2 linked regions of the Cricetulus griseus genome follow. The protein of the gene in region 1 purifies or fractionates together with the protein of each later gene. This does not show direct contact. Links are inferred from orthologs where the notes say so. Each region holds a gene or a part of one and is shown in the gene's direction. Other genes may lie near its edges. The genes, in order: Katna1 and Katnbl1.

Evidence for each region.
Region 2: the proteins of Katna1 (region 1) and Katnbl1 purify together in Homo sapiens (affinity purification with mass spectrometry; 3 studies listed by BioGRID and IntAct, counting the BioPlex papers as one, with this or other methods). This does not show direct contact. The link is inferred for Cricetulus griseus from reciprocal best matches to the Homo sapiens genes KATNA1 and KATNBL1.

Annotation. Positions count from the first base shown.
Region 1 is NC_048595.1:280,357,708-280,361,529, reverse strand, and holds part of Katna1 (katanin p60 ATPase-containing subunit A1), read left to right. Parts: intron 1-1,127; coding exon 1,128-1,249; intron 1,250-3,822. UniProt on the Homo sapiens protein: Catalytic subunit of a complex which severs microtubules in an ATP-dependent manner. Microtubule severing may promote rapid reorganization of cellular microtubule arrays and the release of microtubules from the centrosome following nucleation.
Region 2 is NC_048599.1:65,946,449-65,950,270, reverse strand, and holds part of Katnbl1 (KATNB1-like protein 1), read left to right. Parts: intron 1-2,137; coding exon 2,138-2,256; intron 2,257-2,949; coding exon 2,950-3,000; intron 3,001-3,088; coding exon 3,089-3,178; intron 3,179-3,822.

The DNA of each region.
Region 1 (3,822 bases):
CTGTAGGACTATAGTTACAGTTGGAAGGGCCATATGGGTGCTGGGAATTGAGCGTAAACTTCTGGAAGAGAAGTCAGTGCTCTTAACTGTAGAGTGTTTTCTCCAGCCTCCTCAAAACAAAATGGTTTTTTTGTTTGTTTGTTTGTTTTTGTTTTCAAGAATGGGTTTTTCTGTATAATAGCTCTAGCTGTCCTGGAATTCATTCTATAGACCAGACTGGCCTTGATCTTGACAGAGATTTGCCTGCCTCTGCCTCCCCAATGCTGGGATTATATAGGTATGTGCCATCAATGCCAGGCCAGAACTGAAAATTTAATTTAATTTTTACTTAAGTTAAATCTAAGTGGATACACATCTACTTATTTATAATTTCTTGGTATGTATGTATGTATGAAGTGATTTACTGATAGTCATTGTCTGACTTCTGAGTACAGAGTCCCATATATATCCCTTTATTCTTTCTATTTACAATTATAAACATTTCCTCTATATTAATTTAGAACTACATCAGATTGTTGTAATTTTTGCTTTTGCTAGCCAATGTTATTTAGAAAACTCATAGGGAAATAAAGTCTGTCATATTTACATAGTTCCATGTTTTGTTTCCTGACTTGCCCGTGTTTCAGGGTTGATAAAATTCTGTTTCTTATCTCAAGTTTTTTTTTTTTTTTTTGGAGGGCGGTGTTGGTTTGGTTTGGTTTGAATTTGTGAGGTGGTCTTATAGTCCTCTTGTCTCTAATTCTCAAGTGCTGGGGTTCTAGGCATGTGTTCCCATCCCCCCCTCTGAGAATGCCTTGAAATCCTCTTCATTTCTGAAGGCTATTACACTGGAAGGATCTTGAGTTTTCTTTGTGCACTTGGGAAATACCGCATCACTTTCTTCTGGCCTCTTTGGTTTCTTGGAAAAATCCACATTGATTAGGATTGGTTTTCCTTGTCCAGGTGTGGTGGTAATACCAATCATTTGGGAGGCAAGAGGGTCAGAAGTTTGACTTGTGTTAGGTTTGTACCAGGAGATCATTCAGTAAACAAAATCACTTTGGTCTGATCATTGTTTATGACTCACAGAAACAAAATACAGAATTTCAGTCAATTAAGAGCTCTTCCTTTTTTATCTCCTCATGTAGAACAAATCACCTGCTGCAGTTACAGAACAAGAGGCAAATAAATTTGACAGCACTGGATATGACAAGGACTTAGTAGAAGCTTTGGAAAGAGATATAATTTCTCAGAATCCCAATGTTCGTTGGTAAGTCACATCACAAGATAATTGATAGTTTTGGAAACAGAAAATAGACAAAATATGGGCATGTGCTAAAATCTGTCTTTGAAGACAGAGCTAGAGGATATGCAGTGTAAGTGGGACATACAGTAAAAACTGAGTCACCACTGAGGCTGTACCAGTATGTTGTCCTGAGATTTTTATTTTTGTTTGTTGTGAGACAGGACTCCCTGTAGAGCTGACTGGCTTCAAAATGGCTATGGTAGCCAGCATGGCACTGAATTTCGTCCTCCTACCTGAACACTGAGATGACAGACACACATCACCATGACCAATTTATATGGTGATGTTGAGGACTCCGGGGCTTGTGCTTGCTATTATTTTTTGCATTTTTAAAGTTTATTATTTTATATGGATGGGTGTTTTGCTTGCATGCCATGTGTACAGTGCCTTTGGAAGACAGAAGAAGGAGTCATATCCCTTGGAACTGGAGGTATAGATGCTGTGGCAGCTGAGAATCAAACCTGGCACTCTGTGAGAGCAGCCAGTTGCTCTTCCCCACTGAGCCATTTCTCCAGCCTCTCTTCGTTTTTGGTGTATAAGGTGTTAAACACAGGGTCTCATACATATATGAGGCAAGCTGTCTCCCAACTGAATATCCCCAGTCCCTTGAGGTTTTTTGTTTTTTGGGACAGGGTTTCTCTGTGTAACAGTCCTGGCTATCCTGGAACTCACTCTGTAGACCAGACTGGCCTTGAACTCATTGAGGTCCACCTGCCTCTGCTTCCTGAGTGCTGGGATTAAAGGTGTGTACCACCACTGCCAAGCATGATTCTTTTAAATTGACAAGTCAAATACAAAGTGGGACTAAGCACACAGTTTCATCTTTTGGGCCCCCTTCTAATGTTGAGAAGATTGATGTTTTGTTTTTTGTTGTTTGTTTTAAACTTAATGTCCCGAAGTGGTGGGTCACACCTTTATTTTCAGCACTTGGGAGGCAGAGGCAGGTGGATCTCTTGAGTTGGAGGCCAGCCTGGTCTACAGAATGAGTTTTAGGATAGCCAGGACTGCACAAAGAAACCCTGTCTAAAAACAAATAAACAAACAAAAGCTATTTTTATTGTGTATGTATGATGGGGTGGAGCATGTGCTGTGGCACAAATTGGAGGTCAGAGGACAACTGTGTGGACTCTGTTCTCTCTCCCATATTTCTGTGGGATCTGAGGGGACAGGTCCTCAGTGTTGTTCAGTAACCACTCTTACATACTGAACCAGCTTGCCAGCCCTGGGTGGAGGTTTCTGTGCACACATCTTGTTTATGTCTATAGCTTATGGTAAATGTTGCTTTTATTTGCTTTTAGTGCAACATTCTCAACTTTATATCTAATAAAGGATATGTACCCTTTTTCAGCATGCTGTAAGGGTTCACTTTTCTACAAGTTGGTTATATTTTGTTACATACTTTTAATTAAAATATGGATGGTTAATAGGTATTTTTATAATATTTAAAGTTTCTAGTAATTGATATTTATACAGTAAAATCTATTTTCATAGTAAAATTGCTACATACACTAGTAGTACTGGTATGTATTCTAGTGGCTGGGGAGAACTTCATAATGAAGTTCATCTTTTAACGTTGGTGTCTGCATCTTAGAATTGGAAGCTTAACAGCTGTATCTACTGTGTGCCCTGTTTATTCTTTTTATAGTGGCCATTCTTCTAAGCCATTAGAGTTATGGGATATAATATAAGATGCTGTCAATGATGATTCAGGTTCAGCATCCCTAACCCCTAATCTGAAAAATCAGAAATCCAAAAATGCACCAAGATCCAAATTTTTTAAAATTTATTTTTATGTGAGTTGGTGTTTTGCCTGCATGTATGTGTGGTGGTGTCAGATCCCCTGGAACTGGAGTAACAGACACTTGTTAGCTGCCGTGTGTGTGTGTGTGTGTGTGTGTGTGTGTGTGTGTGTGTGTGTGGTGTGTGTGTGTGTGTGTGTGTGTGTGTGTGCTGGGAATTGAACCCAGGTCTTCTGGAAGAACAGCTAGTATTCTTAACTGCTGAGTCATCTCTCCAGCGCCCTCAAGTTTTTTTTGTTTTGTTTTGTTTTCAAGACAGGGTTTCTCTGTATAGCCCTGGCTATCATGGAATTAGCTCTGTAGACCACCTGCCTCTGCCTCCTGAGTGTGCTCCACCATTGCCTGGTTATTGAATATATATAATTTTTTTTTAAGATTTTATTTATTTATTATGTATACAACATTCTGCTTCCATGTATATCTGCACACCAGGAGAGGGCACCAGATCTCATAACGGATGGTTGTGGGAATTGAATTCAGGACCTCTGGAAGAGCAGCCAGTGCTCTTAACCTCTGAGCCATCTCTACAGCCCAATTGAATATATTTTCAAGTGTAGAGCTAAACCACTTTATTCTGTGGGAAGAAGCTTCCTCCTAAGTGCTGGATTGCATCATTTTTTTTTTTCCAGCCTAGGGTGTTGAGCCACATTTTTAAGCAAGTAAATACTTTATTCTTAGAAAATTTGGAGAGTTTTAGATGAAATTAATCTGAACAGTTTTGGATTAGAGAATGCTGAA
Region 2 (3,822 bases), on another chromosome or scaffold:
ATCCCAGTTCCCTTCTCCCTCCCATCCTCCCCCACCATCCCCCCAACTAAAACCCTACCTATCACATATCCTTTCTTCTATTCTTCCCCTGACTCAACCTTTCTGCTCCCTCATGACCTCTGCATCCTTCCTCTTCTTCCCTTCTCATTCTCATAGCTCCCTCCCCCCTCTTCCCGTGCTCTCAATTTGCTCAGGGGATCTTGACCCTTTCCCCTTCTCCAGGGGACCATGTATGTCTCTCTTAGGGTCCTCCTTGTTTACTAGCTTCTCTGGCAGTATGGATTATAGGCTGGTAATCCTTTACTCTATGTCTAAAATCCACATATGAGTGAGTACATATCATATTTGGGGTTTTTTGTTTGTTTGTTTGTTTGTTTCGGTTTTTCGAGACAGGGTTTCTCTGTGGCTTTGGAGGCTGTCCTGGAACTAGCTCTTGTAGACCAGGCTGGTCTCGAACTCACAGAGATCCGTCTGCCTCTGCCTCCCGAGTGCTGGGATTAAAGGCATGCACCACTAACACCCGGGATATTTGTCTTTTTGTGACTGGGTTACCTTGCTCAGAATGGTTTCTTCTAGTTCCATATATTTTCCTGCAAATTTCAAGATTTCATTGTTCTTTTCCCACTTAGTAGTACTCCATTGTGTAAATGTACCACATTTTTCTCTATCCATTCTTCAGTTGAGGGGCATCTAGGCTGCTTCCAGTTTCTGGCTATTATAAATAGTGCTGCTGTGAACATGGTTGAACAGATGTCCTTGTTATATGAATGTGCTTCTTTTGGGTATATGCCTAGGAGTGGAATTGCTGGATCTTGTGGTAGACTCATTCCCATTTTCTTGAGGAATCGCCATACTGATTTCCAAAGTGGCTGTACAAGTTGGCATTCCCACCAGCAGTGGAGAAGTGTTCCCCTTTCTCCACATCCTCTCCAGCATAAACTGTCATTGGTGTTTTTGATTTTAGCCATTCTGACAGGAGTAAGATGGTATCTCAGAGTTGTTTTGATTTGCATTTCCCTGATGGCTAAGGATGTTGAACACTTTCTTATGTGTCTTTCAGCCATTTTAGATTCCTCTATTGAGAATTGTCTATTTAGTTCTGTACCCCACTTTTTAATTGGATTGTTTGGTGTTTTGGAGACTAGCTTCTTGAGTTCTTTGTATATTTTGGAGATCAGCCCTCTGTCAGATGTGGGGTTGGTGAATATCTTTTCCCAGTCTGTGGGCTGCCGTTTTGTCTTGCTGATATCTTCAACAAATGGTGCTGGCATAATTGGATGCGGACATGAAGAAGACTGCAGATAGACCCAAGCTTATCACCATGCACAAAACTTAATTCAAAATGGATCAAAGACCTCAACATAAACCCAGAGCCACACTGAACCTATTAGAAGACAAAGTGGGAAAAACCCTTGAATTAATTGGTACAGGAGACTACTTCCTGAACATTACACCAGTAGCACAGACACTGAGATCAACAATTGATAAATAGGACCTCCTGAAACTGAGAAGCTTCTGTAAGGCAAAGGACACAGTCAGTAAGAAAGGTTTTTAAAAATATAATTTTTAACTTTTTTGCCATTGTCTAAAGCATGATTTGGAAGACACATTCCAGGTTAGTAGTTGTAATTGTTTCTGGAGAATGATGTCAGAGACTTTGGCCAGTGGAGTATTCACTTTTTGTCTTTAATAGTTTTGAGCTAAGTTTTCATACCATGTATTACCTTGTTTAAAAATACATTTAGATGGTACATTTGTAACAGGACAGAACTCAGGTTTGTGCTTCTTCCCCTTGCTGCTCATTTGATAATTACTGGCCTACATGCTTACCTTTTCCTGCATTCACATGCAGGAAATTAAGTCTTGGGTTTATGGGTTAGCTAGAAATAATTTAACTGTATAAATTAAATGAATTTTTGAAAATTGGTAACAAGGGGGAGAGAGAAAAGGTCTTGTTCACGTCGTTCATTTGCGGTATTGAACTGCAAACTGTAATATTCCTTTATGTGGGCCAGTATAAGGAGTTGGCTTTGTATAATTTAAAGCTGTGTCTACCAGACTGTTTTCATTAAAAAAAAAAAAAAAGTCTGTGTCATGTTTCATTGTGGTTTTAATGCATTAGATGATTGCCTTTCAGGTTTCTCAGGACCACGAGACAATGGCCCAAGTTCTGTTCAGCAGGAATTTGAGATTGAATGTAGCTTTGACTTTCTGGAGAAAGAGAAGTATAAGTGAACTTGTAGCTTATTTAGTGAGGTGAGTGTGACTTTTTGATCTTTATTTAACATGAATAATTCTTAATGATATATGAGAAGTGACTCTTTTAAGAAGTTTCTATTGGTTAAACATTTAAACCATTGTATTTAGCATTCAGAGAGTCAGTATAGCTTAAATTACATTCATCACCAATTTAAGTGTAATGAAGATACAGAAAATTGTCTTATCAGATTGAACAAAGCTGTTACCTTTTCTAATTGCGATTCTTATCTGTAAAACTAAGTGGGAAATTTGCCATTAAAAAAAAACAAAAAACCTTTGGGAATTTTAAGTGTCACCTCCTCATTTTATTTAAGTCTCTCAAATACTCCCTTACTGATGCCTAATTGATGACTCATTGAGTACTGTCTTTGAAAAGATGTAATTCATTCTTTTTTATCTGTCTTCTTCTTTTCTCATCCTCTGTAGCATTTACCATTAGCATCCAGCTCTATGCGTTTTTACTTGTTTGTCTTTCTTTGATCCACTGCCACCTCCTGCAACCACTCAGGCACTGGAAAACAAGCCCTGTCTGCTTTCCCCTTTATATCTTCAGTACTTTATCACTTCAGTGATAAATACTGAAGTTATTTTTTAAATATTGAATGCCTCCAAAGGAGGATACAAATTGTAATATGAATGTAAGAAAGGACCTCGGCTCTCTAAGCAATGGTGTCTGTCTTGTACTCGCAGGATAGAAGACCTTGGAGTTGTGGTAGATTGCCTTCCTGTTCTAACCAATAGGTAAAAACAGTATTTTTTCAGAAAAAAAAGTAAGCTTTAAAGAAAAATTATAATCAGTTCATATTTTATAACTTAGAATTTCTTTTAGTTTACAGGAAGAAAAGCAGTATATCTCACTTGGCTGCTGTGTAGACTTACTGCCTCTAGTAAAGTCTTTACTTCAAAGCAAATTTGAAGAGTAAGTACTAATCTAAATCTCCCCTTTTCCCTTCCAACGTTCTTGAATTTTTGTTTTGTGAGTACATGGTAGGAAACTGGTCTCCATGGCATATATATGATATCTGGTTTTTTAATTTAAAAAATCTGAACTACATTTTATTTATTGTGACAGAGGAAATCATAACAACTTGTAGGAGTTGATTCTGTCTTCTACTATATGAATTCCTGAGATAACTGGGCTGTCAGGTTTGGTGTCAGGTGCCTTCACCCACTGAGCCCTCTCTCCATCCCTATTTTTTCTATTCCCAAGGAGTTTATAGTATGATTAGGAAAGAAATGTAAACAATAAATGATAGTTGCAAAGATTCTACGAATAGCTGTGTGTGTTCTCTGGTTTTATGAGGAAGATTATAAAAGTAATGACGTATGGACTGGGGTGGTGGCATGCCTTTAATCCCAGCACTTGGGAAGCAGAGGCAGGTGGATCTCTGAGTTTGAGGCCAGCATGGTCTATAGAGAGTTTCAGGACAGACTCCAAAGTTACAGAGAAACCCTGCCTCAAAAAACAAACAAAAAATGAAATACATTTTTCTTAAGGGGGAGATAGGGTGTGTATATGTGGAGGCGTGTTCGTGGGGGAGGTGTATCATCTTGTCTAAAGGC